Linked DNA regions of Astyanax mexicanus. The protein of the gene in region 1 purifies or fractionates together with the protein of each later gene. This does not show direct contact. Links are inferred from orthologs where the notes say so. Each region holds a gene or a part of one and is shown in the gene's direction. Other genes may lie near its edges.

Region 1 (10,964 bases):
ATGACTCTTCACACTCTTCAGACGGAAAAAGCTTAGCAACCATTTTAACTTTTTAACGTTATTAGCGTTCTTTTCCAAGCCAACTTAAAGTTCGTTCACGAACTTTACCTTTTCTAGTTTAGGTTTGCAGGCCTACTGTAAGCTATAATGAACGAAACTGTATTTATTTTATTAGTTCAGGGCTAGTTTAAGAGTATTGTGGTGTAATTTAATACTTAGAAGGGGTAGAAGAGATGGTTGATCTGGAGAGAGAGAAAATGTGAAGAGGGCTGAAATTAACTGACTGACAGGACTGGACTGATCAATAGAAAGAAGTATTAATTAAATTATTAATTGTTTAGGCCCCTTTGGACTAATATTTACTTATGCAATATATCTGGTCCATGTCATTTTTGTAAAAGCTGATGATTTCATGTAAATGTCTAGAAAAGGGTTTAACTTAGGCTGTATTATAAGAATTACATATGTAGGAATGTCCACAACATTTCAGTGTCAACAAAGATAGACCTGTCAGATTCTGATAATCTAATTGTAGTTTGTAAAATGTTCCCAGGTGGTTATTTTAGATTTATTGTAAACCTGTCTTAAAATATAAGGGATTCTGTACCTCGGTTGGGTTGGTGGGCGACTCGAAGCAGGTGACGGAAAATTTCCCTTATTTTTAAGTCCAAAACTTGACAGGTATGCTTAGAGCCCTCACAGCGGGGCGAATGGGTAACGTCTCGGCGGCATAGTCGAAAGGCTAAGGCTAATGCTACCGCAAAGGCCACAGCCAGCCCACCTAAACACCACGCTCCCCCAGTTCACGTGTCAAACAGGTTTGCCCCGCTCAGTGAAGCACCAACTGAGGAGCCTGTTAAAGGTACTCTGGTGATAGGAGACTCTATCGTCCGACACGTGAAATTAGCTACTCCTTTAGGGGCACCAGCGGCAACAGTTACTTGTTTACCGGGAGCCAGAGCACCGGACATTAGTGGCAACCTCAGGTTAGGGAATAGGAGATATTCGAGGGTAGTAATTCATGTAGGGGCCAATGATATTCGTCTGCGGCAGTCTGAAGTAACTAAGGCTAATATTAAAGAGGTGATTAAACAGGCCCAGACGCTGTCCGAGGAGGTAATCTGCTCTGGCCCCATCCCAATGAGGCGTGGTGATGAAGCTTACAGCAGGCTTTCTTCGCTGAACCGCTGGATGTCCAAGTGGTGTGCAGAAAATCATGTGGGCTTTATAGATAACTGGCTACACTTTGAGGGCAAGCCTGGTCTTTTAGGTAGGGATGGTGTCCACCCCACGCGGGAGGGTGCTGCCTTACTTTCATGCAGCATAGCTCATAGTCTTTTAGTTAGTCGGCAGAGTAGTATTAGAAGCTGCTGACAATCCAGAGCCGGGACCAGGCCGCAGACAGAGAGGCTTAACCAACCGTCTGCGAGCTGCAAAGAGACGTTACCTAGATACCAATGTATTCAGACTGTGTCTGTCCCCCGAGTCAAACAAAAACATCAAAAAACTAAAACAGTAAATCTAAATAACTTAACTTATATTAAACAATCATATCCAGACTGTAGTACTAACATTTCAAGCCTAAAGATTGGTTTACTTAATATTAGATCTCTAAATTCAAAAGCAGTTCTAGTGAATGAAATGATAACTGATCAGAAATTTGATGTTCTGTGTCTGACAGAAACCTGGATTAGGCCAAATGAATATGTAGCATTAAATGAAGCCACCCCTGCAGGCTATAATTATATACACAATCCGAGATTGTCCGGTAGAGGAGGTGGGGTCTGCATATTTTTCCAAAGTACCTTAGTTAGCAATCAGAAACACTATGAAAATTTTACTTCTTTTGAGCTTCTTTACACCAGTATAATTAATCCAGTTACAAAAAAGAATGCATTTTCTTTAATTAACATCTACAGACCACCAGGGCCCTATTTAGAATTTTTAAAAGAATTTAGTGATTTTGTCACAGACTTAGCAGTAAGTAATGATAAAGTGATTATAGTTGGAGACTTCAACATTCATTTCGAAAAATTGGATGATCCATTAAAAAAGGCATTCACATCGATTTTAGACTCAGTGGGTATTATTCAAAATATAACAGGACCTACTCATTACTGTAATCATACTCTGGATTTAGTTTTGACCCTGGGTGTGAGCATAGATAACCCGAATATTCGTTCTCAAACCTCCGCAATTTCAGATCATTACCTTATTTCATTTAAATTACATCTTAGTCATAATATACGTACATCCCCTAGCTACTCTGTAAAACGTTCAATTACGCCTTTTACAGCCCAACAATTTACAGATAAGCTTCCAGACTTATCAACTCTAATGTACTCTCCTGTAGACCCAGTAGAACTAGACAAACTAACCGAAGGTTTAGAAAATACCTTTCGCTCTACCTTAGATGTTGTAGCACCCCTTAAACACAAAATAGAGAGACAGAAAAAGCTCGCACCGTGGTACAATGATCAAACTCGTACCTTAAAGCAGTTAGTACGAAATTTAGAGCGTAAATATCGATCAACTAAACTGGAAGTGTTTCACTCTGCGTGGAAAGACAGTCTTGTTAAATATAGAAAAGAACTTAATAAAGCCCGCTCAGCGTATCTGGCCTCACAGATCGAGATAAATAAAAATAATCCTAGAGTTCTCTTTAGTGTTATTTCCAAATTAACTAAAAACCAGGCAGGTACTGAACCTCAGATTCCAGCCATTTACACCAGCAACGATTTTATCGACTACTTCAATAGTAAAATTGAAAACATTCGGGATAAAATTAAACAGATAAATATTACATCCTCTCTGTCATCTGGTCTGGCTGATCTAGAACAAAACCCTGTTACTGAAGTTAGGTTGGAAGTCTTTAACCCACTTCCACAGCTAGAACTAGAGAAAATTATCTCCTCTTCAAACAGCACAACCTGCACACTTGATGCTGTTCCCACAAAATTACTAAAACAGGTACTGCCAGATATAATTAAACCTCTGTTAATGATAGTAATCTCATCGCTCACCCTGGGCCATGTACCCAAAGCCTTTAAAACAGCTGTAATTAAACCTCTGATCAAGAAACCAAATCTTGATCCTAGTGTACTGTCTAACTATAGACCTATTTCAAACTTACCGTTTATTTCTAAGATTTTAGAAAAAGCTGTAGCCCAACAACTTTGCTCTTACCTGCAAAGAAACCAGATCTATGAAAAATTTCAATCTGGATTTAGGCCTTACCATAGCACTGAGACAGCTTTAGTTAGAATAACAAACGATCTACTTATAGCCGCCGACCAAGGCTGTGTTTCCCTACTCGTACTTCTCGATCTGAGCGCAGCCTTTGATACAATAGATCATACTATCCTTTTAGAAAGACTAGAGAACATGGTCGGTGTAACCGGAACTGCCTTAGCATGGTTTCAATCGTACTTAACCGATCGCTATCAGTTTGTGAGGATAAATGTCTTCCAGTTATACCAAGGTAAGATATGGAATCGCACAAGGCTCTATATTAGGACCGTTATTATTTACATTATATTTGCTCCCACTGGGCAAAGTTATTAGAAAACACAATGTGAATTTTCATTGTTATGCGGATGACACGCAGCTCTTCATATCAGCCAAACCTGATGACAGAGTGAGATTAAAGAAAATCGAGGATTGTGTAGAAGATGTAAAATCATGGATGTCGCACAACTTCCTCCTATTAAATAGTGATAAAACAGAAGTTCTCCTATTAGGCCCCAAAGCTGCTAGAAATAAATTATCAGACTTAATGCTAAATCTGGCTAACTTCTCAGCCACCCCTGGTTCAGCAGCTAAAAACCTTGGAGTTATCATAGATTCAGATCTAGCATTCGATAAACACATATCTAATGTTACTAGAACAGCTTTTCTACACCTCCGTAATATTGCCAAGCTAAGAAATGCCCTATCACTGCATGACGCAGAAAAATTAGTACATGCCTTTATTACCTCAAGGCTAGATTATTGTAATGCGCTACTGTCTGGATGTTCCGGCAGTAACTTAAATAAACTTCAGCTAGTTCAAAATGCTGCAGCCAGGGTCCTTACTAAAACTAGAAAATTTTACCATATTAGTCCAGTACTATCAGCACTGCACTGGCTTCCAGTCAAATTCCGCATAGACTATAAAATTCTCCTGTTAACGTATAAAGCCCTACACGGACTCGCTCCTGAGTATTTACAAGACCTCATCTCCTGTTATGAACCACCGCGATTACTTAGATCTCAGGGTGCTGGTTTATTAGTAGTTCCTAAAATTCAGAGGAGCTCTGCAGGAGGAAGAGCTTTCTCTTATAAAGCGCCTCAACTCTGGAATAATCTCCCCGAATATGTTCGGGACTCAGACACAGTCTCAATCTTTAAGTCTAGACTGAAAACTTACTTGTTTAGTTTAGCTTTTGGTAATTAATGTTTTTTTCCATTAGATAAGGCTGCAGATTCAGGGGTTCATGGACAGAGGAAATTGTGGTAAACTGTGTGTTCTCAGTTTTGCATAAATCCAGTCAAAACTAATTCCATCTCTCTGCTTTCCTCCGAGTTACTGACTGCCCACCTGTCTGACCCGATACCGATGTTGGACCCTCAGGCTCTCGCGTCTCCTGTCCGGCCAGACTGATGGAAGTTTCTGAAGTCAGCTCTTCTCCACCACCACCACAGATCAGCTGCTCATCATCCATCTTACTCTCCACTACAGATTACATCCAAGCCATTAGTGGCGCTATTACACTCCTGAGTACATAAAACCTATATGGATGTATAAAAGACTTTTTAAATTTTAATTTAAAAGCCGTTTGACCAGTGGTAGGATGGTCCCCCCTCAAATGTGAGTCTTGGTCCTCCCAAGGTTTCTTCCTCCTCCTGCAGCTCTGAGGGAGTTTTTCCTTGCCTCCGCGCTCACTGGGGGTTCTGTATTCTGTATTTTCTATGTGTAATGTTTTGCCTGATTCTTTGTCCTGTAATCATGTTTCTGTAAAGCTGCTTTGTGCCAACACCTGTTGTAAAAAGCGCTATACAAATAAATTTGATTTGATTTGATATCCTAAATGTACATTTTTGCATTAGATATGTGGACCTGAACTCTTTAAAAGATACATTGGAACATTTTTTTTTTACAATAAACTGTGGCTGTATCTGTAAATGGAGTTTTACTAGTAAAATGTAATCATACATACAAGAGTAAAATTTGACTCACCTTAAAATATAGTTAGCTAACCCAGCTAAAAGTTCTCCATCACAGATTCTTCATATCCACTCATTCGGCATTCAGCTAAACTAGCTGTTCTGTGGAGTTCAACATAAAGAAAACTATGACTTTGTCTAATGCTTCTTAGTATTCACATTAGCTACATTAGGTACGAGGTTAAATAAATAAAAACAACCATCTGAGCCTGAGTTGAAGGCATCAGGACAGCGTAGCAAGCTAACCTAGCTAGCTGCATGTTTTTGCCAGAGCTGTTGTAAGGGGTGAAGAAAAATGCTCACTCAAAGCCCGAGCGAAAAAAATGTTTTCTGTAGCAGAAATATTTCAGCAGGATAAAAACCCGTCGTGTAAAACAATAACGCTTCATGACGTTTTCAGCTTAAGTTGTATAGCTAGCTATCTGAATCCTCTCATGTTCCAGCTATACGCTGCATTCGCCGTTACTCTACGAAGTGTGTTATTTGTAAACGGTGCCTAAGGTTTACCCACCGGAGTTAGCGAGCTAGCTCAGCCTGTTACTGCTAAAATGGAAGCGCTGATCAGCGGCACAGCGGCCAATATCAAGTAAGATACCTTTACTCTCTGCGAACATGGGCGCACATATTACACGTATTAACAGAGCATTTCCCACAGAACACTGTACTAGTGGCAGGGCAGACGCTGAGTTTATGTCGCTAATGCCGGTAAAACCCGTCCAAACTATGCTAGCCTGCTAGCTAGCTCTACCTACCTAATCTGTCAGTGGGTATTAATGCATACAGTACCAAAATAAAACAGTTTAATTAGAAATTAGGTTATTTTCAGATTGTTTTGGGTTGTTTCTTTTGCATATTATAAAGTTATAGGCTTTAATCTGTAGGCTAGTTAGTTACATGGTGGTGTCACATTAGCCACTGCTACCTTATCAAAAGTAATATCAAAACAAAGAACATTCTCTAACAGATAAAGCATTTAATACGCAGTTAATACCGTGGCCTTTACTTAATCTGCTGAAAGGTTAGTTTGAGAAAACTCTCTGCCTGCCAATTACGATATTTGTAGCAATGAAAGAAGTGTACTTATTTCTCAATAGCCCCATTATTACATTTATGTTTCCTGGTAAAGGGAACGGCATCAACAATCTAAAAGCTTCTGGCAAATATGGCAAACATTAGATTAAATTGTTATTTATTATATGCAGAAGAAAGTCATATAATTTATTGTTAGTTTTGTAATATACTGGCTATGGTGTTTATGTGACAGCCACTGTTTGACAAGCTGTCAGCATAATGTTGCTCTCATTTTGGACAGGCAAGTGTTTTGTGTAGAGAGGTATAATATTGTGTTTGTCTTTAAATTTTTTTAAATAATTTTATTTAAACTGTGTTTTTGCCATAGATGGACAAATCATTTCTGTTGCCAAATATTCTCTGTATTGTTGCTGTTATACCGATGATAAATGTAAGGGAGCTTAAAAATCTTTTTGTGTTTTGTCTAAAGAACAATATTGGGTAAAGTTATATTGTGTTTTTCTTTCCAGAGAAGATGGTATGGATAACTCTGACAGAACTGGGAATGGCTCAGGTGAAGAGGAAGAGAACAGAGGAAGAAAAACTGAGAACGTGAAGGTTGATGACATGGAGAAACACAAAAGAAAGAAACATAAACACCATAGAAAGCACAAATGTTCATCGTTAGAGGAAAAAGAACACAGACACAAGCACAGACACAAGCATAAAAAACACAAATGCCAGGATGATGGAGACTGTTTTGAAGAGGAGGATGATGCAGACCTTATCTCAATTAAGAGGTCCAGACTGGATGACATGGCAGCTTTGGAGGATTTAGAGAAGCAGAGGGCCATGATCCAAGCAGAGCTTGATAATGAGCTGCTGGACGGGAGGGTGCACTCAGGAATGGGCTTGATACTGCAGGGATATAACTCAGGCTCAGATGAGGATGGGGAAATGCCAGAAGGGACATGTAATGGAGATCAGCTTAGGGACATTGTTAAAGAGCCACATAAGTCAAAGAGCCATCCATCTGCTGAAGAAGCTGAAAGACTTGATTCCTGGACTCAAAGTAGAAGCAGATCCAAGGAGATGCCTACCAAAAATCGGCATAAATCAGACAAAAGAAAGAGCAGAACTGAGCCAACTTTTGAGACCAAGGAGAGAATGCCAGGTCCAGGTCCATCCTTTGACAGGAGGCCTTCCAGAAGTATTCAGCAGCCCAGGTCTCCTGTAACATCAAGAAAGCAACAATCTACATACAAGACTCAGCATTCTCTCTCTGCTGAGACTGAGCAGGAAAATAAAAAGGAGTCTTCACCTACAGTTCCACAGCCAGGCACACAAAGTGCTGATTATTCCAAATCACCTGAGAGGATGAGGCGATCTAGATCCAAAGACAGACATAGCAGACAGCCTGAGTCTGACCGCAGGCAGGACAGGGACAAGACAATGGTTAAGTCTCCATCTAAGGAAATCTTCTCAGGCAAGGAAAACAGGTCTCCCAGTGGAAAGCGTGACCAAAGTCCAGCATGGCTTACATCCTCTAATAGGACCAGGGAACATCATGCCCCTCAGCAGCTTTCCCGGAACCCGACTGGTGACAGAGAGTCCAAGCAAAGCCGCTCTGACCCCCGTAACAGATCTCCATCCAAAAGGGCTCGATCTCGCTCCATAGAGAGAAGACAAAGAGATTCTGACCGCCAGAGACCATCTCCTGTCAGGTTGGAGGCTAAACACTCCTCTGTTATCTTTCAATATTAACAGTAATCATAACATAAATTTCAACCTACCCCCTGTACTCGTAGTCTGTTTCTGTTGTTTTCTCTATTGTTTAGAGATTCTGTGTGCCTTACAGTGTCCGCTCCCATGAGACAGGAGGTGGCAGAGGGCAGAGTCCTTCTCTAAGTACTCGACGAAGACGGAGCCGCTCCCCCCTAATGTGCAGATCCCGCTCCCCCAGGAGACACGCCAGCAGGTCCTCTCCTCCCAGAAGAAGGTCTGTCTAAGCCCTTTCACATGTTAATATGTACTACTCACCTGTATCCTTATTCTTAATAATTGAGCACATTACCAAACACTTGTCGGGTTGTCAGTTAGTAACCCTGAATGAAAAGTGCTGGGTGGCTCACCAGAAGACCAACATGCTGACAGCATGGCCTGAGGATCGTGAGTTTGAGTCCAGGTTCATGCTGCTACACAATCAGCAGCAGGAAGCTGAGGAAGCACAATTGTTCATGCTCTGGGTGGGTAGGTTGCACAATTTGATGCTGGTTAGCACACACATCTGTTGGCTGATGTGTCAGTGCTGGGGATCTGGTGCTTTCTTCCAAGCATGCTGGCTGCTAGTAATGCTGCAGATTGTGACTTAGCCAGTATCAGAGAGGCAGGAGGGTCCTAGTGTTAGGAGTATTGTCAGTTAAGAGGGCTGGGAGTTGAATCCTAGGGGCTCCTAGGGTCCTATGGACCTTGATGGAGGTTGGTTAATGGACAATTCCACTTAAAATGTTTCTGATGTTTTAGATCAGTGGAACGCGACAGATTGGGCCTCAGGCAGCATGCCCACTCAGGATCTCAGGAGAGAAGGAGGAGAAGCAGAGAGAAGGAGGACAAGTTTAAGGGCAGTCTGTCTGAAGGCATGAGAGCCGAACAGGATGATTCAGATGATGAAGTGTGAGTATATCAGGGTTCTTTTAGTGCTGCTGTCAGCTGGACTGTCCTATATGCTTATTACACACTGTGTGGCCCCACAAATGAATAAAGGCCCCCCCGTCTCCACCTTGCACCGAGTTAGGGAGAGTTAGTGTCCCGCATAAATTAGAAGATGCAGCGAAAATGGCCCCAAGGAAGTCCAGACTGGCTCTGGCTGCTGTAAGTGGTTTAAAACTGTTTTGACCTGTGGTGTGGACATGCATAAAGAATAATTGCAGTTGTGGATTATGACTCCATACAGGCTGGAGGATTATGATGTTGATGAAGAGGATGAGGAAGCCCTGATTCAGCAGCAGAGACAGCAGCGATTGGCGATTGTGCGGGTCAGGACCTTGTCATGTCTTTGGCTACATATTCACTATAAAACATTCATGAATCTATGTTTGTTGGAATTACAGAGCAGTATGTGAAGACTGAGCAATGATAGTTTTTTTTTTTTTTACTTGATGTTCACAAAATACTGGCTTGCTGCTTTTCCCATGAGTTTTTACAATAAAATAATAGGAGTTGTCTTCTACTGGTGCCCTTACATCTGCAGAAGATAATAACTTTTAATATATAAAGCACCTGAGCCTTCACTGTACTGTATTGGTCTATAGCTAAACTGTGGATGTAAAATGTTGTACATTGAATGTTGTACATCTTAACCAATTTTATCTTTTAGTAAGCAAAATGTTTACTGTGCACTGAAATTAAAATATTTGGCCCAATCTGAACAAAATTAAACATTTGGCTAAATACCAAACTTTTGTAATAAATTTTTCCTTTTTTTCACCACAATAAATTAAATAGCCTTAATGTCTAATGCAGTTACAAAATTATAGTTAACATAATTATTGAGTACGTAACCCTATTTACCCAGAAGTTAGTGAATTGTTCTCAGAGAAAGGCAGCCAATCATTTTTTAAACAAACAAATGCTAAAGCTGAGTTACCTCAGCTCAACTAACAACCCTATCATAGTGGTTAATGAGCCATTTTTTGTAACCTTCAGTAAAACTGAATAGTTGTATTGTTTCCCTCTCTCTCACATGTTCTATTATACAGAAATATAAGGAAACTAAGGAGGACAGCATTAAGTCTGAACCTGGCAGTCCACAGAGTAGCCCCCGCAGCCGCTCACCCTCTCCGGACGATGTCCTCGAACGTGTTGCAGCTGATGTAAAGGCATATGAACAAGAAAACTTGGACACTTTTGAGGCCAACGTCAAGGCCAAACACAACCTGCTTACCCAGGAAAAAGAGGGTATGTTTAATAAAGAGAATAAATAAATTAATGTATTTTAAGCAGACAGCTGTCAGTAATTGTACTGTGATAATTCAGTATGTTGTTATTTGCTTATATAAACAAAAAAAATGTTTTACACTAATTGGTGACTCTTGAATAATTGTTATATTGTTTATTTTTGAATGTTTTATGTTTTTAATCTTGAGAAAAGGTTTATTTCCTAAAATTCTACTGTTAAAATATATTTGTGCGAAACACTGTATTGAGCTAAATGTTTCTACAGGTCTGGTAAACATGAATTACTTTGGTTTTCAGGTCTTCAGTTGTTTTGAGATGTGTTTTCAGCTGTGTTTGTTTGAGTGAGAGATAGATAGAGAGAGAGAGAGAGCACCTGAGAGAATTCAGCTCAGCAATGCTGTGTCAACAGTTTGGCTAAACACAAACAGCGCTAACAGGCTCACACTCAAATTTGTGACAACAGAAGAAAAATGCGAGATTAAACGACATGCATACTTCAGAACATGGAATTGTACAAGCGTACTAGGCGGTCTAAATGTGTAAAATGTGTAGCCATGTGTTGGCAGATCTAAAACGATTTCTGAAACTTGTCTGTGTCGAGATGAATCAAAGAATAAAAAAAAACACTGATTATTAAGCTAAAATCCAGCTCTCTTTATCAGATGTTTACTTATGGTTGTCCAAACTTATGCACAGGTGATGATTTGATTTTCTTGTGGTGACAATCAGAGTAAAAATGTTGTTCTCAGTGCTCAGACTTTCACATACAGCTGTATATGAGTGAGTATATA
Region 2 (10,658 bases), on another chromosome or scaffold:
TGGTTAAAACTTTCTACAGAAGTCATTTATTGAGATTTACCATGTAAAAAAAACATCCAAAATAACTATAATAATACTATAATAATACTGGGTTTTTATAGCCAAAAAGATACAAATAATCTGAAAATTTTCTTTTGAGGGCAATCAGTCCTTTAAAATCATTATAAGTGATACGTGTTTCTAAAAGGATTTTTCACCAATGCACTGTGCATGACTTCATGTTTATGTTTCAACAATTTGATTATGAAACATTTATTAAATATCTAAGTTCCTTTAAAAAGAAACATCAATAAAATACTCTTTAGGGAATCAATAAAGGTCCACCTGTAGCTGAAGCTCCCTGGCTTGTTGACCATAGAATAAATTTGTATTCAAAGAATCAAGAATGGGCATACAGTATATGACTGATATAACACATAATCAGTTACACTGCACTGCAAATGCATCGATGCATTTTACACTGCTATAACTCACCTCTCCACGGTGAAGGCTGTGATGGAGCAGGAGGACACATTGATGCCCAGATACTGCAGGTAAGTGATGCCCAGACACCCTGCATGGCCGTACACCCAGGTGGCCATCAGGCTCTCTGAGATGTTGGGCAGCCCTGCCGCCACCAGCACCGTTAGATCTGCTACAGCTAGGCTCACCAGGTAGCAGTTGGTGGGTGTTCTCATGTGTCGTGTAGTCAGAACCACCAGGACCACCATAATGTTGCCTACGATTCCAACACCGCACACCAACAGCACCAGGAACACGGACACCGTCTTGTACTCCAGAGACTCGGCCACGCGGTCCCCAGTGCTCAGCAGGGAGATGTTCGAGACTGGGTTACTGTCCAGCTTGGAGCTCACGTTTTCCACCATGTTTTGAGAGCTTGTGTGTGCTTGTGTTAGTGTTGTAGATTCAGTTCAGAAGAAGAGTAAGGAAATGTTTTTACAACCTGTCTTGTTGAATCAGCTTTCCTTCATTGACACCCCTTTCATTATTTCCTTGTAGACTGCTATAATTCCATTAAACGTGACACTTTTGATTGCTGCAGCTAAGTCTCTTGTTGGCTTGTAGGCCTTTTTTGTTGCTTCTTAATGCAATTGTCCATCCGATCGATCCCCCTGAAAATAGAGATTGCAATAGTCAATTGGCAAAATGCCAATCTCCAACACCTTTAAGAGGATTTCACCATCCTGTGCTAATTGCTCAATAATTGCATGCATGTCCATGTCCTCTGGCATAAGTAGATAAGTGTTGTATGTATGACTGTGGATAGCAGACCTTCTCTAGGCTGCAGCCTGCTGAAACAGCGCTGATTAAAAGTCACAATGCAGGAATAACATCTACATCTCTCTCTGTCTCTCTCTCTCTCACAGACACACACACACACTCAGTGCTTCCCTCCACACCTGCTGGGGTCACAGAATTTTTTTTTCAGAAGAAAACTCTTCACACATTATCAACCTGTACCGACGATAAGCTGCCAGAGCAAATTATTCAAATGAGACATTTTAGTGGTACGCTGCATTAGGCAGCAAAAAAACCCTGCAAGTCTTAAAAACACACAACTGCCACAGGCAATCTGCTCACTACAGCAGTAGAAATTAAATACAACTGTTTTCAAGGATTTACACTTGGGGATGGGGCAGTGAATGTTCTATAATGCCTGGCCCATACTGCAGTTTTTTTTATCCTGACAGATGTCAAAAACGTGAGTGATCGCACACGTGAAATCATTTTTTACAGATTTTTCAGTCTTTAATTTTTGTTAGCTAGTGTTTGACCAGCCAACACCTCAGTTTTTTTTTTAATCTCACGGGAGTTTCTCATAAACTGTTATAATGTGAGAGTAAACATGGTGGATGACAGAAAAACATCACTTTGTTGAATAAATGTTTTCAACTCAGAAATAGTAATGTATACTGTTTGCTGTAAAAAAAATCTCTTTATCAAGCATAAAGTTAACACATTTTAAATCCACCCTATTCAAAAAAAAATATATGAGCATGTGTTATATTTAGGCGGCCCAGTAGAGTTAGGCTCTGTTTGGTTTAAATCCTGGGTCATGCTGCTTGGCATCAGCAGCCAGAGTCCGAGTCACCACAATTGGCTATGCTCTCTTCCCATATCACACCCAAACTGATGTATCAGAGAAGGTATGAGCGAGTCTTCACCTTCCTAGGTTTGGAGGCATTACTAGTGAAAGGGGGCGTACTAATAAGGAAATGTGGTAATTGACCTTCCAAATAGAGGTGAAAATGGAATAAAATTTGAAATAATTCGAAAAAAATAAATGATCAATAAACGATCAGGACAAACCTTACTGCTCTGGGACAAGATTAGAGGACTAAAGATTGGATTATATACTTCACATTCTACAGAATAATCTGGAAACTGTATCGAAATCGGGAGATTTTTGAGACTGTCGGGAAGAACAAATCAGCCTCAAAATTGATCTGACCATCCTGTAGTGTTGGCCAGGCATAAGATAACATTTGGGAAGTCCACAGTAATATTATACCAAAAAAAAAAAAAAAAAAGAACATGCTTAGTCCAGAAAATTAAGCTTTCAGATCAATTTAGGCTTCTTAACATGCTCTTCTATCTTGTCATCTGTTGCTGGTGTCACAACACAATAAAATATTGTTACATTGACTAGCTCTATTTAATACAGTACCTAACACGAATCACGATCACAAATCTGAAATTTAAAAGATATACTCTTATAAACTATAAAAAAGTGAAATTTCTCTATTTAATACTTCAGGTTATCTTTAAATAAAGAGTCCACAGTTAAACCTGGGTTTGTTATGAAATTCTCTGACTTTATCTCTACTGGAATGTCTTGAGCATCTTGAGCTAAACACGCTCATTAAGTCAGCAGCTGTCCTCTAAAGAGCATTTTCTTGCCGCGCTGTGATGTCGAGCCTGATTCACAGACTGGCGTTGATGGTGAGGGCCAGGCACGCTGATGAGAGCCTGTGATAAGAATTAAGCTGTCAGTCTTTTGGTCAGTCTCTCCTCAGTGAGTGGGATCCAAGCAGAATCATAAAGTCATCGAGCCATTCAAAGACTCTCTTTCACTCTCTCATTTTCTCTATCTATTTCCCTGTCTGTCTGTCTGTCCATCTGTTTATCTATATATCATATATGTATGCAGTTATATTTGTTACATTTACTGGGTCACCTGCTTAATCATTGTTTTAATAAACTGTTGATCCTGCTTTTGTTGGAGTAACTATCTCTGTTTTCCAGTGGAAGACTGTGAGTGTTCGATTACATTCACCACCCCACCTTTTCCCTAAATCCCAACTCATCCCAAAAATATTGGTTGGTGCACCATCATTCCATAGAACACCATTTCACTGTGTGAAAGCTCAATAGTGGGAGGCTTTATTCCCCTCCAGCCCCCAACAGGTATTACACATGGTGGCAAATGGCTCATGTTTATCTGCTCCATAGTAAAGGTGGGATACAATATTGTGATATATCATATAATATATTGTAAGTCGCTTTGGACAAAAGCGTCTGCCAAATATAATGTAATGTAATGTAACTATATATTTTTATTAAAGCACAGGTGCTCTAAACTCCCAAAGATTCGCCCCAATTTAACTTATTAAAGTTACTGCTTCATTACTCCATTAATTTATTATTATTATAAGTATTTTAAAGAAATTTCTTGTGATATATCCACAGAAATTTGATATCATTGTTATTGTGGGCCACATATCCTGGTAATATTGTATTATGAGAAGCCCTGTGATTCCCACACCTACTCCACTGTAACCAAATAATCAATGTTGAATTCATCTGTCATGTTATGGCTGATTAGTGTCTCTCCCACGATCTGTTTTTGTCTGTATGTCTGTCTCTGTCTGTCTCTCTAGTCATTTGTCTGTCCTTCGATCTATCTGTATTTCTCTGTGTCTGTGTGCATCTTTCTCTCTATGTGTCTGTCTGTCTCTTTCTCTATTTTGCTCTCTTTTGTGCTTCTTTCTCTCTCTTTGTCTATCTCTCCCAATTTATTTGTCTGTAAGTCTGTCATTATCCTAATGTCTGTCCTTTTATCACTCTCCCTTTCACTCAATTTGTCTGTGTGTCTTTTCCCCTCTCTCTGTTTGTGTCTCTCTCACTGTTTATCTGTCTGTCTCTCCGTGTCTGTTTCTCTCTCACTTTTACATGGTCCAAGTCTATTTCTTTCTCTTTTCTCCTTTTTCTCTACCTCTTTATGTCTATCTGTCTTTTTTGGCTTGTTCTGTGTGTGTCTCTCTCTCTCTCTCTCTTACTATGTCTCTCTTCCTCTTTATCTCTTTCTGTCTCATTTCTGTCTGTCTGTCACTCTTTCACTATGTCTCTTTCTCTGCATATGTATTTCTGTTAATCTCTCTTTACTTATGTGATTCTATGTTAATAAAATCTTTTTTATTGTCTGGCTGTATAAATTGTATAAATGTACTTGAAAAACAATGTTTCTTCTAAATGCTGGAGACAAACACACTTTCAATTGGTGAACAGGAAATGAGTATTATATCTGTTAACAACAACAACAACAGCAACAATTATTAATTGATTCATTGTGGTGAAGTAGATTATTTCAGTGGTTAGTATAAACAGTGCGTTATTACATGCTATTCTAAACCAGGAGGAAGCAAATACTGGAGAAAGTACAAAAACGAATACATATGAACACATTTAACATAATTCATTGGTTTTTTTTTTTTTTTTTTAAGAAGAACAGTCACAGTTTAACAGCACTGTATATTTCTCTTCACCCTCACACATGCGGTCAGTGCTAAACCAGAGATAACCCGAGCGAGTTAATAATATAAAACATTTCACAGACAGTAACTAACTTCCCAGCAGCTCCAGTGAAGGCGCGTCTCTTACCATTTTCTTCTCTTGGGTTTGGGATTCATTCAGTCCGTGCAGAGAGCGCTGGGTGGTGTGGTGTCGGCTGTGGAGCGCAGGTGAGAGAGTGAAGAGAGAGAGAGATGTGTGGTTCAGGTGAGGAGGAATGCGGCTCCAGCGGGCAGCGGCGGAGTGGGGAGCTCGCGCGCTCCTGGAGCCGCACTGTTCCGTGGGGACGAGCCGGGAGCGTTTTCTCTGCAACAGCGCTCTCTAGTGTGCGCGCGCCACCAGCGCTGCTGCACTTCACCACTGAACACACCACAAGAAGTAAGGAAACTTGTGTTTGGTATATTATTTTAAAAATAAATCTTATACCCTGGGAAAGCCTGCTAATTTCTCTTTTAAAAGGAGCCAATTTTGTAGGGAGCATGAATTTCAGAGCTGAGTATGTGGATTGCATAAATCTTCTCCAACATTGCCAAATAGCTTGTTCTGCCTGTAATATTAATTCTTGTTTTGAGCTTCTGGTACCCCCAGGTGCTGCCTGTGAGATGTCAGTGGTCAGTCAGTAAGTGTCTGCTTCATGAATCTGCATCATCCCACATTTGAATAATTTGGATCTGAATAGGGTCCATACGACAGGGCAACTTCTGTTCCGTAAAATCAAGGTGCGGCTTTATTTGGAATTGAGCCCTCGTACCACTGAAGGCCAAGATTCCTATAACGGGGGTGTCAGAGACAGGCAATGGCAGAGAGGATTTGGCTATTTTTTTCATGGGTGCAACCCATTTACTCAGCTTTGCTGCTTATCCCCCAAATGCCATTTAGAGGCTTCTGAATAGACTTACAACCCCTGACGTAGAGTTTGGCTTATTATGTAACCATCCCTGCATATATGTAGGCAACAATATATGTATATTCATTTTGCTTTGCATGCTAATCGTATATTTCAACATTGAAGGTGCTACACTAGCATTTTTTATATTCATTAGCATTCTTAGTTAAACTCAGTAACTCATAAAGTAGCACATTACAATATACTAACTCTAGCCTGAAATATTATAATATAGTAAAATACATATCTATGTGTATTTCAAACTACATCATTATTACTGTCACCTTCCCAAAATTACAGCTAAGTCCCAGCATTAAAAAAATAATAAAATGTATCTATGACTTAGTCACTCAAATATATATATATATATATATATATATATATATATATATATATATATATATATATATATATATATATATATATATTCTTTTTTTTTCATTGCACTGAATATCAAAAGCTTAATCTAGTGGAAGACACGTCCTACTCTATTCTGTTGTGATTAATTTTATTATATATTTTTTGTTTTATAATACCGACTTTAATTAATTTAATAAGACTCTTTTCGGATGTTTTCTGTGTGAATGGCTAGCCTAGCCTCGCCTTGTGTCGGGTGTTGATGACGATACTGTAATGGCCGCTCTCACGGTGTGTTGCGGGGTCTATGCGTTACTCCGGTAAAGAGAGAATCACTGATCGGCGCTTTCTTTCTTTATTCCCCGGTTAGATTTCCTCACGGAGGGGGAGAGGCCGGGTAGCCCCACATCGAGCCCCAGTCTCCGCGGCGCTGTGTTGTGAAAGGTGACCGACTGTGTTTTAAGCGCGTGTTTGCTGAGAGTTCTCGTTATTGTTGTTGGCCGCGGCGAGTCGGTGCGAGTCAGGGACGCCGCCGGGCAGCAGTGAGACGAAACGGGACGAGCCCTGCGGCCAGTCGCGGTTATTCTGCAGGGCGGGTGTAGTTTCGGGGGTTGGTGTCGGTCCGGGTCCATGAGCTCGGCTGTAGCGGGGTTTGGGCCGCTCTCTGTCGGGCCTGCTGCTCCTGCTGCTGCGCGGCCACCGGCGGAGCGACGCCTCCTCCTCATTGGCAAATAGGCGAAGCTAAGCTACGCTAGCCAGCTGTAGTCGGCGAGCTAGAAAATTGTCCTTTCGCTCGACCATCTCATGAGTCTCTTGCCGTTATTCCGAGCAGGTAACCTCATTCCAAATTACTTACTAAACTACAATTACATTAACTCTGTATGTTACGAAGTGTGCACGGTGTGAAGCAAGGCCGTTACGGGTGCGGAGACCTCGCTAGCTAACCTAGCTTAGCTAGCCAGTATGCTAAGCTAACAGGCTGTTAAACGGTAACGTTAACATAGCTAACTACTTAACCTAGCTAACGTTAGCTAGTAGGCTATCGTCATTAGCATTAGCATCGCCTTGGGTTGTGTTTATCCCTCCTCGGTGTTAGATTAGCTAACAGCTAACTAACTAGCTAAACAATTAACCGAACTAGTTAACCCAACTATTAGGGCTACACATTTAGCTATATTTTTTTGACAACAAGCACAGTAAACGATATTAAATTAATATAAAACAATGTAAGGGTAGTTAACCTAGCTACATATGACTAATAGTAACGTATATACAGTACAGAAATAATAACATTAATAGTGGATGTAGTTAGAGGTTACGTAACCCTAGTTGCAAGATTATGTGCTAATGCATAGCTAGCTTACATAGTTACATAAATACGTACTCACATATTAACCGTTTTATTAGTATTTTGTTTTTTAGATGACTGTTTAATAGGTTATAGTGTTCATCTTTATTTCTCTATTTTTTATTTATTTATATAAAACCTGAACGTTACAAGTGTAAAATTCAGTATATATGCATGTGTATATTCCCAAACATTTACTTGTTAGGTAGTTTACACTAATAGTCTAAATAAGTCTGCAAGGGTATTTTATTTTTGTATTTTTCGTATTCAGAACAATGTAGGACTAATATAGCTACCTAAGCTAACTGCTTTTCTGTATGTTTAAAACTGTGAAGCATAAAGTATCAATGGTAAAAACGCAATTCTGAGACAAAGTTCCCTGGGGTTAATACATTTTTAACTAAGCATTTTCTTAACAGTCACTTCACTTAATTTAATTAATTGTTTCTTATTAAAGGGAAAGGATAGATTGTTTCACTAAAGGAGTGGTCAAGAAAACAGATTCTATATTTTTATTTTTTAAGGAGGAAACAAAAAAAACTAATAAAACAAAGAGAATAGTTGTTAAACTGAAGGATTTATTAAATGAATAGAGCAAATTGTGGAACTAAGGGGAATGCTTTACTAAATTGACAGAACAATTTATTTTATTGCCAAAAAAAAAATAAGGGAAACATTTGTGTTCTTAAATATTTAGTTTTAACCTTGATCATTTTTTCTGGTCCTGTGGAAACCTTTTCAATCAGAATGTGCTCAGTATTGGAATTTAGGCCTGTTAAGGCCTGTTTTTGAAGACTAAGCCACACTTAGATTTGGTCAGAGTTACCAACCGCTGTCAAGGTTGGTGTTGTACCAGTCCTTGGCTAACAGTTCTGAAAGGCTTCTGAAAACCAAAACTGTGTTAAAGGATATTTACAACCCCTTACGTAGAATTTAGCTTAATATGTATCCAGAAAACCATCCTGGCATGTACTTAAGCAGCAATATATGTTCATATTTTGCTTTGCATGCTAATCATGTAAATATGAATGTTTTTGATTACAGATTGAGTGCTGATGGACACCCCTGAGAGCCCCACACAGTCTCCACAGTCTCCAGAGGAGGAGGAGAAAGGTCTGTCAGACAGTGAGCTGCTGGAATCTCCAGAGTCCCCTACTGAGGGGAACAATGAAGTGTCTGACAGTGAGTTACTAAACGATGAGGAAGGAGGAGGAGGAGGGGGAGAGTCAGACATTGATGATGAAGACAAGGTTGATTTGGGTGGGAGAGCTCCAGGAGAAATATCTGACCAAGACGATGACAAGGTAGACGGGATCGCGGGGAAAGATGTACACCAGCAGGAGAAGTCAGGAACCATTCTGAAAGGTGGGCAACACATGAGCAGATCTCCAGAGCGGGAAGAAGAAGAGGAGATCTTGGAAACCCCTAGGTCACCAGACCCTGAATCACCAGAGCCCGTACATCAACAACCCTTCACCCTTGCTGAAGAAGAGCGTGGGGAAGCCAGCCAAGAAGAAGAAGAGGAGGGAGAGAAGACCACTGGCTTAGGCATGAGTCGTCCAGAGTTGGAGGAGGAGGATGAAGAGGAAAGGACACAAAGGAGGGTAATGGCAGTCAGTGATCTAAAAGATGAAAACTCTTCTGTCTCCAGAGAGCTGGATGAGCATGAGCTGGACTATGATGAAGAAGTGCCTGAGGAACCAAATATTGGTGTTCCAGAGGAGGATGACATGGAGAAGGGTCCTGGTGCTGAGGACGGTGAAGCGAATGAGGAGGAAAAAGACAACAAAGAGGAGGGGAAGAGGAAAAGAAGTGAAAGGAACCCTATCCTCCCCCCAGACCAGGGCAACTCTGATCTTAAGAAATCTGAAGAGACAAAAGGCCAAGAAAGAGGCAGGAGGGATTCCTTTCGTGATAAAAAGAAAGATGAAGATGATGGCGAGATTGATGAAGGAGAAATTGATGTAAGTACTCTTACCATAATTACTAGGATTTGTAGAGTATTTGGACTCTACTAGGTAAGTACACTGTGTTCAAATTATTTAAAAAGATGTTCTTAAGAAAAAGAAAGGGACAGTTAATGCACTCATAGAAATGAACTGTGCCTGGAATATAGAGCTGCATTATAATTGGGAAGGGGGATGACATTGTGATATTTTGTTGTTCTGCAAAACATGTTGTGATATAAAAAAATACAGGAGTTTTCTTCAAAAAGTCAAAAATCCAATAGGTACAATAATATTAACAATGCCCATTTTATGTCCAAGATAGGACAGATATAAATGATATTGAGCTTATTTTATTTCCTTTTGTATTAAGCAAGTTGTAGCATGACGTAATGTTTAAGTCGCCTTTTCTTATGGTGCGCATGCTGTGATGTGCCTTTTTTAGCAATGACTATGCTGAACAATATATTGTGCATCCTTGCTGACATATTGTTATTTGTCAGTCTTAAATATTTCAGATCATCAAATAAATGTAAATATTAGTCCAAGGCAACACAAGTAAACACAAAATACAGTTTTTAAATGAAGTTTTTCTTTATAAAATCCAAACCTACATTGCCCTATGTAAAAGTGGTTTATCACACCTGAGTTCAATTTCTCTAGCTGCACCCAGGCCTTATTACTGCCACACCTGTTCTTAATAGAGGAATCACACTTAAATAGGACCTGCCTGACAAAGCCGAAGTAGACCAGAAGATACTCAAAAGCTAGACATAATGCCAATATCCAAAGAAATTCATGAACAGATGAGAAAAAAAAATAAGGTATGTCAGTCTGAAAAAGGTTATAAAGCCATTTTTTGTGATTTTGTGTATAAAGCCAAGTTTAGGGATTCCAGTGAACCACAGTAACAGCCATTATCCACAAATGGCGAAAACATGTAACAGTGGTGAACCTTCCCAAGAGTGACCGGCCGATCAATATTACCCCAAGAGCACAGCAACCACTCATCCAAAAGGTCACAAAAGACCCTTATGACAAAGTAAAAAAAAAACTGCAAAAAAAAACTTGCCTCAAGTGAGGTCAGCGTTCATGACTCCACTATAAGAAAGAGACTGGTCAAAAATGGCCTGCATAGCAGAGTACCAAGACAGAAACCACTGCTGAGAAAAAAAGAACACTAAGGCTTGTCTCAATTTTGCCAGAAAATGCTGGTAGTATGTGATGGTGTGATTGTCTGGGTCTGGTTTGCTGACTTACTCTGATAAATAGAACCATGAATTCTGCTGTCTAACAAAAAGTCCTGAAAGAGAATGTCCTGCCATCTCTT
Region 3 (10,184 bases), on another chromosome or scaffold:
CCTTTTACTGGGTTTCCATAAAGAATATGAACACAAAGATCATTAAAGGTCATTAAACTCTCATTAAACTCACCACCAGTTAGGGTGTTCTTCATACTGGATGTTCACAGATCCTTAAAAAAGCCTGAAATACAATGTTCAACAAAACGGCGAAATGCATCACAACAAACCACCAGATCATCTTCTCTTGTGTTCACCTCTTGTGTGTGGCATGGTTAATAAAGTAAATACAGAAAGAGGGTTCTGGGTCTAGTTCTGGTCTAGCACATACTGTATTTTAGTGTAGTTTAGCATGGAGCAGCAGCAGAGATGCATTAGTTAGTAACTGTAGTAATTATTATCTGAATAATAAATCAGGTTAAACTGCACCTGAACAGCCGTTTAGCTCTAAGATGAGGAGTATATTTGATATTTGGGTCAGATCAAGAGCAGAACTTTTCCAACAGATTATTGATTTACTTGGACTAGTATTTATCCACTAATAGTTTCTTCTCGTTCTCTTTCTTGTTTGTTCAGATGGGCTTTCCTCCGTTTCTCAGCATCGTCAGCAAACTCAGTCAGGTGACTTTTTAACATCAGAAAATTATCAGTTAACTGTTGTAAACAAGCCTGTATAAGCCTGTTTATGAAATGCGTTTTTTCCTGTTAGGTTTTTTTGATCTTAGTCGACCTGTTTGTCTGATAACCCTGTAATCTGATAACCCTGTAATCTGATAACCCTGTAATCTGATAACTCTGTGTGTGTGAGAACCCTATATTTTAACAATTATGTACTCTAATAATCCTGTAATATGATAACCCTATTTTTCTGATAACCCTGTGATTTTATAACAATGTAATCTAATAACCCTATTTATCTAATAGCCCTGTAATCTGATAACACTGTAATCTGATAACCCTGTAATCTTAAACTCCTGTGTGTATGATAACCCTGTAATATGATCATTTTGTTTGTCTGAAAACTGTGTAATCTGATAACCCTATTTATCTAATTACCCTGTAATCTAATAAGCATGCTGTCTGATAATTGTGTAATCTGATAACCATGTAATCTATTAACCCTATTTATCTAATAACCCTTTAATATAATAAACCTCTTTATCTAACAACCCTATTTATCTAATAAACTTGTAATCTGATAACCCTGTAATCTGATAGCCCTGACATCTGATAACCCTGTAATCTGATAACCCTATTTATCTAATAACTCTATTTATCTGATAACCTTGTAATCTGATAACCCTGTAATCTAATAACCCTGTAATCTGATAACCCTGTAATCTGATAACCCTTTTTATCTAATAACCCTATAATCTGATAACCCTATTTATCTAATAACCCTGTAATCTGATAACCCTATTTATCTAATAACCCTGTAATCTGATAACCCTGTAATCTTATAACCCTATTTATCTAATAACCCTGTAATCTGATAACCCTGTAATCTGATAACCCTATTTATCTAATACCTCTGTAATCTGATACTCCTGTAATCTTTAACAACTCTTTTTGTTGTGTAGTCGACGGTTTCTGCAGTGCTGGAGTATCTGATCAGCTGGTTTGAGGAGAGAGATTTTGTTCCACAGCTGGTGAGTTTAGTTAAACTCTTCTAAATAACAGAACTTTACAGATGGTACTGAAAGCTCTTATCTCCACAGGGTCAGTGGCTGTATGCATTACTGGCGTGTCTGGAGAAGCCCCTCCTCCCTGAAGCTCATTCGCTGATCAGACAGCTGGCGAGGCGGTGCTCTGCAGTACGAGCAAACCTGGTAAACACTGCCTGCCTCTATTAGCCATTTATATGTAAACCGCTAACAACGAAAATGTAGAGTAGATTCCGAAGTGAAAATGGACAAATAGTATGAAGTTCACTAGAGCTTCACATGACGCCATGACACGAAAACAGAGCTGGTGGATGTTAGAGACCTTGCTCTCCTCCACTTTCTATTTAAGAATGCCCCACAGATGCTCAATTTAAAGCTTTAAAGCTATATCAATTTTGGGGCAGTCCATCACCTTTATCTTCACTTTACTCAGTAAAGCATTTGAGTGCTGAAAGCACTCATACAGCCTCAAACCATGATGCTACCACCACCATGTTTGCCTGTAGGCAAGGGACAATTTTCTTTGTACTCTTTACCAGGACGCCGCCAAATATGCTGGACACCATTTGAGCCAAACAAGTTTATCTTTAACTCCTCAGATCACAGGACATGGTTCCAGTAGTCCATGCTCTTAAACTGCTTGTTTTCAGTAAACTGTGTTCAGGCTTTCTTGTGCATCAGCTTCAGAAGAGGCTACCCTCTAGAACAGTGCGATGCAGACAGAGTTGATCTAATGTGTGCAGTATGTGTGAGCGTATGGTCTGAGCACTGCAGACTGACCTCACACTTCTTCAACCTCTGCAGCAATACTGGCAGCACTATTCTACACATCTGTTTTTTAAAGCCAGCCTCTGAATATAGAAATTTTAAAAGAATTTAGTAATTTTGTCGTAGATTTAGAAGTATGTAGTGATAAAATGATTATAGTAGGAGTCTTCAACATTCATTTTGAACAGGACCTACGTATTACTGTAATCATACTCTGGATTTATTTTTTAGTTTTGAATATTAGATAACCTCAATATTCTTATAGCCTAGGCTATCTTTATATAGAGCAGCAATTCTGTTTCCCACATCCACAGAGAGCTCTTTGCCAAGAGGTGGCATGTTTAATATCCAGTGGCCAAGTATGAGAGAATTGAACCCAAAACACCAAATTTAACCTAAGACCTTGAAACACTAACAAATCACATGACGCCAGGGACGGAAAATGGCTAATTTTGTCACGAATTTATATATAAAACCACACTTGTATATATTTTTAATCTATTGTAAGTATATTATACATGTAAAGTATGTTTTTGTGTTTCATTTTATTCTAGGAGAGCAAAGATGACGACAGGCTGTCAGCACTGAACTTGTTAATCTGTATAGTTGCCAGGTAAACTGTGTTTTTCTAACCAACATATCAATAACTTTAATGGATCATTCTAATGTTATATAGAGTTAATTACAGGTAGATACTCTCACTGATCACTGACTTTATTAATCTTTATTTGGGTTTAGTATTCTAATGTTATATAGAGTTAATTACAGGTAGACACTCTCACTGATCACTGACTTTATTCTTTATGTTTATTCAGGTTTAGTATTCAAATGTTATATAGAGTTAATTACAGGTAGACACTCTCACTTTACAATGACTTTATTCTTTGTGTTTATTTGGGTTTAGTATTCTAATGTTATATAGAGTTATTTACAGGTAGAAACTCTCACTGATCACTGATTGTATTAATGTTTATTTGGGTTTAGTATTGTAATGCTATATAGAGTTAATTACAGGTAGACACACTCACTGATCATTGATTTTATTAATGTTTATTTGGGTTTAGTATCCTAATGTTATATAGAGTTAATTACAGGTAGACACTCTCACTGATCACTGACTTTATTAAATTTTATTTGGGTTTAGGATTCTAATGTTATATAGAGTTAATTACAGGTAGACACTCTCACTGATCACTGACTTTATTAATGTTTATTTGGGTTTAGGATTCTAATGTTATATAGAGCTAATTACAGGTAGACACTCTCACTGATAACTGACTTTATTATTAATGTTTATTTGGGTTTAGTATTCTAATGTTATATAGAGTTAATTACAGGTAGACACTTTCACTAATCACTGACTTTATTATAGTTTATTTGAGTTTATAAATTTTAATGTTATATAAAGTTAATTACAGGTTCTTTTTTTTCCTCTTATTTCTTTTATTTAGGTATTTTGAGCAGATTGATTTGGCTGATAAAGAGTGAAGAAGACGATGCTGCAGATTATGGGAGATTTTTTGTAGATGTCTGTTTTCTATGATTACATGTATGAATGCTGTTATTTGCCAGAAACTGAATGTGTCTCAGCTGATCGACTGATTTCGTGATCAGTGATCAATATTGGTCAGTAGATTTATCAATGAATAGTTCCATTATAAAAACAGTTTACAGTGATTCATTTCAGCTGTATTGAAATAAACCTGTAATAAATCTACTGAGTGTGTTCCAGTTTAGGTTTTGTTTTCTTTTTCCATCACACACTGCATTACATCAGCAGTTTCTGAATGTGACTACTACTACTACTACTATTACTACTACTGATTATACTGACTGGCTAATTTGTCTCTATTTATGGAATTAATTTGGAAATAAAAAGGGAAAATATTTGCTATAAAATTAGAAATTAATATATATAAATATACATTTGTCGTTATTTGAAAATTGTTTTTTTTAATTTGGTCAGTCTTTGCTTTCATTTGTTTGTTTCTGTGGATTTTGTTTTTTGGATTTTGCTGCTAAAAACTTTCAAAATATATATTTGATATATTTATATTTTTATAATAATATATACATATATTTCCCCCCTAATAATAGCAGAAGTGTTAAGTATTTAGCTAATCTAGCACAAACTATTAAACCTTTAAAACCAACTATAATGTCCTACATATTACGGCAAGAACTACTCAGCTAAGTAATTTTTTTTTAATTACTTTAAGAAAAAATAAAGGTCAGTTGATATAAAAACATTCAATAATTGAAAGTATTTTCAAGTGCAGTTGCAAAAATGACCATCAAAAGCGTTATAAAGATAGAACTGGCCCTCATCAGGACCTATTTCCTTACTGTGCAGATGTCCTTCAACAGTACATTTTTTTAGTAATGTTCTAATCCGTATTACGGCAAGAACTACTCAAATATGTAAAGCAAAAAAAATTCTTTAAGAAAAACTGAAGGTCAGTCAATATGAAAAAAATAATAACTGAAAGTATTTTTAAGTGCAGTCGCAAAAAAGATCATAAAATACGTTTTAATGATGAAACTGGCACTCATCAGGACTTGTTTCCTTACTGTGCAAATTACTTGAAAGTCTTTCAACTTGAACTATTTGAGTAATGGTCTAATCTATATTACGGCGAGAACTACTCAACTAAGTAAAGAAAACAATACTATTTTCATTATCAGGTCAGTCGATCTGAAAAATTTCAATAACTCAAAGTGTCCTCAAATGCAGTCGCAATAAAAAAAAAGACCATAAATACGTTAGAATGATTAAACTGGCACTCATCAGGACTTATTTCCTTACTGTGCAGATTATAAACTCTTTGAATCTTGAATCTTTTAGGTTACATGTGACTCTTTATAAGCTGAATAATTGGCTGGCGCTGCCAGCACGAACCACCACGATTGGCGGAAGTTAACGTGAGGGTCGGCGCCTATTGGCTGCTGTGTTTGTCCATCATCAGGTAGAGGTGGAACTCCGGCGGTGCTCCATGCTGGTTAGCGGTAGCGGCAGTAGGGCTAGCTGAGCTATCGGAGCAGGATGGCGGTGGCGGTGCGGAATCTGCAGGATCAGCTGGAGAAGGCAAAGGAGAGCCTGAAGAGTGTGGACGAGAACATACGGAAACTCACTGGCAGAGACCCCAACGAGCTACGGTACGACCGGGGACCGGGATCAGCTCCGGTACAGCGGGGGAACGGGGCTAGCGAGCGGCTAACCGCAGCATGCTAACCGGCTAAGCTAGTTAGCTTACCTTTAGTTTAGAGAGCTAGCTAACGTTAGCTGTGGTTAAATACAGGGGCTGTAGCTCTAATACAGAAAATAGGGTGCACACTTGTGCTCTAACTAGCTAGGGCACTTAAAGCTATTTGGCTAGATTAACATGTAGAATGGGGTAATTACATTCTGTCGATTTCTAACCCCATTAGATAATAAAATAAGCGTTTTACTAATATGTCATATCAGTATTTAAAATGTAATCGCTGCGGTGTGCTACTAAAGTGCACACTTCTGTGTTGTGCCCTAACGAGGGCACTTAAAGCTAGTGTTAGAAGGCTAAACAAGACATTAGGGATTCATTCCAACATACTAGCTAGCTAGCAAAATAAACATTTTACTTATATATATATATATATATATATAATGTCATACATCAATATATAATATTTAATTATGTTTTGTGCCATAGCTAGGGCACGCAAAGCTAGCTAATATGCATTCATACATACATACAATTGCTACGGTTTAAAGTGCATACTTCTGTGTTGTGCCCTAGATAGGGCACTTAAAACTTGCGTTAGTTAGTTAACTAACTAGTTAATATTAATTAATATGTAATATTTAGCACAGTGTTGTCCGTGTTTTCAGTAGTATATAACATTTAACTCTGTTCTGTGCCTTAGTTATGGCACATAAATATAGCTAAAATGAATGCAAACATATATGCATGCATACATACATACATACATACATACAATTGCAATTTGTTTAAAGTCCATACTTCTGTGTTTTAAGAATGCAGAGCTTTGACACTTTCCAACTTATTAGCTAGTTAATATACTAGTACATATAACAAAACATATATATATATATATATATATATATATATATATATATATATATATATATATATATATATATATATATATATATATAGTCAAGTAACGTTAGTTTTATTGTCTAATCTACATATGTAAAGGATATATAGAGGACTTAAAATACAATACAATAAATCAAGATTATTATTGGCCAATAAAATAAATCTATGACTAACATGTAATACAATATATTAATACATTTTTGAATTGCTGCGGTCTAGTGTGCTAGTGTGTGTGCTAATTAGGGCACCTAAATTAACTAGATTAGCAAAGCAGTTAGCTAGCATTGGTTTCAGACTAGATTGGAGTGAAAGGTGCATTCCAATTTTGACCACTTGTTAATAAAAAACAATATTTTATTGTGCAATTTAAGCTAATTACCTAACTTTTATAGTTTAAGGTAGAGTAAGTTGTTGTATAATAACGTGTTTAAAACGTTCCCTCGGCTTGTTTAAGCGAGAGTTACAGGTGGTAGATAGTTAGTGTATTGGGACGCACCCGAAGCTCTTCCTGCCTAACTAGGGCGAAACTGCGCAAAGCTAAGCTAGGCTAGCGAAACTGTGTTAGCTTAGCTTAGCAAGCCCAGCACTGATTGAGCTCAGCAATGCTATGCTAAGCTAATTTTTAAGGCGTATGGTGTCATTTATGAAGGTGAAAGTGTAGTTTTATAGCTAATATACACCAACAGAAAGGATATGGGTGCATGATAATACAGATTGTCTCCTAATATTGTAGATAAATATTAAATATTTTAGTTATTTCTGACAAATTTGCTGCTAATGTTTGCTAACTACATAGTTAGCAGTTAGCTCAGCTGTCTTTAACTCATGCTGACTAGCATAACTAGCTATCCTAGCTAACGTTACCTCAGTGTCAAAATATAATATTTACACTTTATTAAAATGTTTATTTAAGTACTGTGGTGATTTACAGCACATTTAAAGGTTTGTTATCTAGTTCATCAGTTAAAACAGTAGCTGGTGAGTGTAATATTAGGCTATTTGGTTAATATAACAGTTAAAATGGTATATAATATTTCTACAGGCCAAGCAGTGCTGTCAGTCATGTGTGTTTTTTAATAAGTATAATCAACAAACTGCAATGTTTAAGGTATAGTTACTGTAATTCGTGCATTATAAGTATTAGAAATTAACTTACTTTTATAATCTTGGCAGAATTTAAGGCTGCTTTCACACCTACCTTTTTGTGGTAGTGCTGGGTGGTATGACTGAAAATATGTATCATCATGTAGATCACATTTATCTATCTATCTATCTATCTATCTATCTATCTATCTATCTATCTATCTATCTATCTATCTATCTATCTATCTACAGGCCTGGAAAAATATATAGGTATATGTTTAAGTAAAATTAACATTTTATTCTATAAGCTACAGACAACATTTTTTTTATTCCAAATAAACATATTTTTATTTATAGCAATTATTTGCAGGAAATGAGAAATGGCTGAAATAACGAAAAAGATGCAGAGCTTTCAGACCTCAAATAATGCAAATAAAACAAGTTCAAATTCATAACGTTTTAAGAGTATAGAAATCAGTATTTGGTGGAATAACCCTGTTTTTTAATCACCTTTTTCATGCATCTTTGAATGTTCTCCTCCACCAGTCTTACACACTGCTTTTGGATTACTTTATGCTGCTTTACTCCTGGTGCAAAAATTCAAGCAGTTGGTGTTTTGTCGTATCACCAAAAGTATTGCTAAAATACCATGAAATGTTGTGATCTTATTTTAAGGCCATATTGCCCATTCCTACCAGGCAGTGTATAATATCAAACATTAAATGATATCTTTAGTTAGTATAGGGTTAACTTGGTCCCACAAAATTACAGAATATAAAAAGGAATCTGTCTGCATTTACAGATACGATGGAAAACTTAAAAAGATATACCAACAACCGTTAACACAGCTTCCTTATCAACAAAATATATTTTAAGACAGTTCTATAAACAGACCTAAAATACTCGATTTCTCAACTGTTCTATTGCACAAGTAAGACAGGGTAAATATAAATGTACTAATTATAGTTATAAGGTGGGGTGCATGTATGTAAAGGGAGTGGGATTTAGACAGAAAGCTAGAATTCAGCACAACACCTGTAGATATCTGCAGTGTTTTAAAGCCCACTCACTCTGATCTGCTTTGGTTTCAGGCCGGGTCAGACCAGGCGTTTGTCCATCACAGGCCCAGGTGGAGGTAGGGGGCGTGGCATCGGTATACTGAGGTGAGTCTGTGTTTTGCTTTATTCGGATGATAAATCTTCTGCGTGTTGTTGGTTTGCGTTTGTAATAAAACGCCTCGTTTTTCTTGTTTTAAGGCGTGGACTCTCTGATGGCGGTGGAGGACCGCCAGCCAAACAGAGGGACATCGAGGGGGCACTCTTGAGGTACGAGCTGCACATTAATATTACTGTTTAAATAGTTCTTATTTATGTTCTCTGTACTGTAAAAACTAATTTCAGGAAGTTAGCTCTTTAAACATGTCCCTGTGCCCAGGTTTTGTTATTAATATCTGTTTTAACCTATAATAAAACATGATTTTAATGCAGTGCATGAAGTACAGTATCTCCCTAACCATTAGCCAGCTGGTTTAAGTAATGTTAGTAATGTTGGTGAACAAGGGAAGTCAATGCTGAGAACTGTCATTATCTCAGCCAAATACATTTTAATGTGTATGTGTTAATGTTAAATGATTTTTGGGATATTGTGTATAAATTGCGAGAGACTCCCTGAACTTCCTTGACTTTGTGGGATGACTGATCTGTTTGGCTGTTTTAATCTGTTTTTATATATATATTTTTTTAGAAATTTAGTAATAACAATAGAAATAAAGGCAGTTCAGGTGATGTGAATGTTTTAGTACATTGTGTTTGTTGCAGATTTAGGCTGATTATAACGCATTAAACCCGTTTCAGGCTGGCGGGGGATCAGAGAGCCAGGAGAGATTCACGCCATGACAGCGACGCTGAGGATGATGACGATGTCAAAAAAGTGAGAATTTCCTGTTTGTTTGTTTTTTATGTGTTTTTTTAAAGCAATAGGAAATCCTGAATGTTTTAATAAATCACAAGAATGTGGTCAGAAGACTCTGGGGGACTTATAACTTCACCCATGTCACTAATAATACAGTTTTGATTTACAGTTTTGGTTTGTACAGGCATGAAAAACATGTAAAAGTAAAATAGCAATTTCCAAGCCTGAATAAGTTGCTCTACAAATCTTAGTATTTCCGTTTATCGACTGAGAAAAACTGTTTTGGGTATCAAAAAAATAGTGTAATGTTTGTGCAAATCTTTCACGTCACTTAGCTTTAGATAGCTGGCTGACTGGAGTTTTTGCTTCACTGTAAGTGTAAATTCAATCAGTGAGAAAAATGTAATTTAATTAGGCGTGGGCAATATTATATCGTATACAATATATCATGAGAACAGAAATATCATATTAAAAATCCATATCGTGATAATAGGGCTGTTCTGTCTTAAAAGTAGTCTATTATTTACTGTGAAGCTTTAGGTGTATTTATTGTATAATTGTTTTAGTTTGCAGTTTATATGCATGCACTAAATATTCTGTAATATTTTTTGCTGCATTATATTATTTTATGATATATTATTTATTTTGCCACATTATGATTATACTGTTATACTATTATACTATATTCCTGAAACTAATTAATTATTTTAGTTTTCCT

Evidence for each region.
Region 2: the proteins of prpf4ba (region 1) and zc3h18 purify together in Homo sapiens (co-immunoprecipitation; 4 studies listed by BioGRID and IntAct, counting the BioPlex papers as one, with this or other methods). This does not show direct contact. The link is inferred for Astyanax mexicanus from reciprocal best matches to the Homo sapiens genes PRP4K and ZC3H18.
Region 3: the proteins of prpf4ba (region 1) and pnn purify together in Homo sapiens (affinity purification with mass spectrometry; 5 studies listed by BioGRID and IntAct, counting the BioPlex papers as one, with this or other methods). This does not show direct contact. The link is inferred for Astyanax mexicanus from reciprocal best matches to the Homo sapiens genes PRP4K and PNN.

What each region holds. Positions count from the first base shown.
Region 1 is NC_064415.1:47,476,182-47,487,145, reverse strand, and holds the start of prpf4ba (serine/threonine-protein kinase PRP4 homolog), read left to right. Parts: upstream 1-5,670; 5' UTR 5,671-5,753; coding exon 5,754-5,791; intron 5,792-6,746; coding exon 6,747-7,940; intron 7,941-8,074; coding exon 8,075-8,215; intron 8,216-8,739; coding exon 8,740-8,889; intron 8,890-9,169; coding exon 9,170-9,251; intron 9,252-9,974; coding exon 9,975-10,173; intron 10,174-10,964. UniProt on the Homo sapiens protein: Serine/threonine kinase involved in spliceosomal assembly as well as mitosis and signaling regulation. Connects chromatin mediated regulation of transcription and pre-mRNA splicing.
Region 2 is NC_064416.1:22,224,194-22,234,851, reverse strand, and holds the start of zc3h18 (zinc finger CCCH domain-containing protein 18), read left to right. Parts: upstream 1-6,348; 5' UTR 6,349-6,478; intron 6,479-6,735; exon of another isoform or gene 6,736-6,866; intron 6,867-8,426; 5' UTR 8,427-8,437; coding exon 8,438-9,346; intron 9,347-10,658. Other genes in the region: trhr2 (thyrotropin releasing hormone receptor 2), read right to left, coding at 475-866.
Region 3 is NC_064421.1:1,237,035-1,247,218, forward strand, and holds the start of pnn (pinin), read left to right. Parts: upstream 1-5,343; 5' UTR 5,344-5,415; coding exon 5,416-5,528; intron 5,529-8,646; coding exon 8,647-8,718; intron 8,719-8,811; coding exon 8,812-8,880; intron 8,881-9,408; coding exon 9,409-9,484; intron 9,485-10,184. Other genes in the region: gemin2 (gem-associated protein 2), read left to right, coding at 517-561, 1,521-1,589, 1,659-1,769, 2,927-2,985, 3,824-3,860. UniProt on the Homo sapiens protein: Transcriptional activator binding to the E-box 1 core sequence of the E-cadherin promoter gene; the core-binding sequence is 5'CAGGTG-3'. Capable of reversing CTBP1-mediated transcription repression.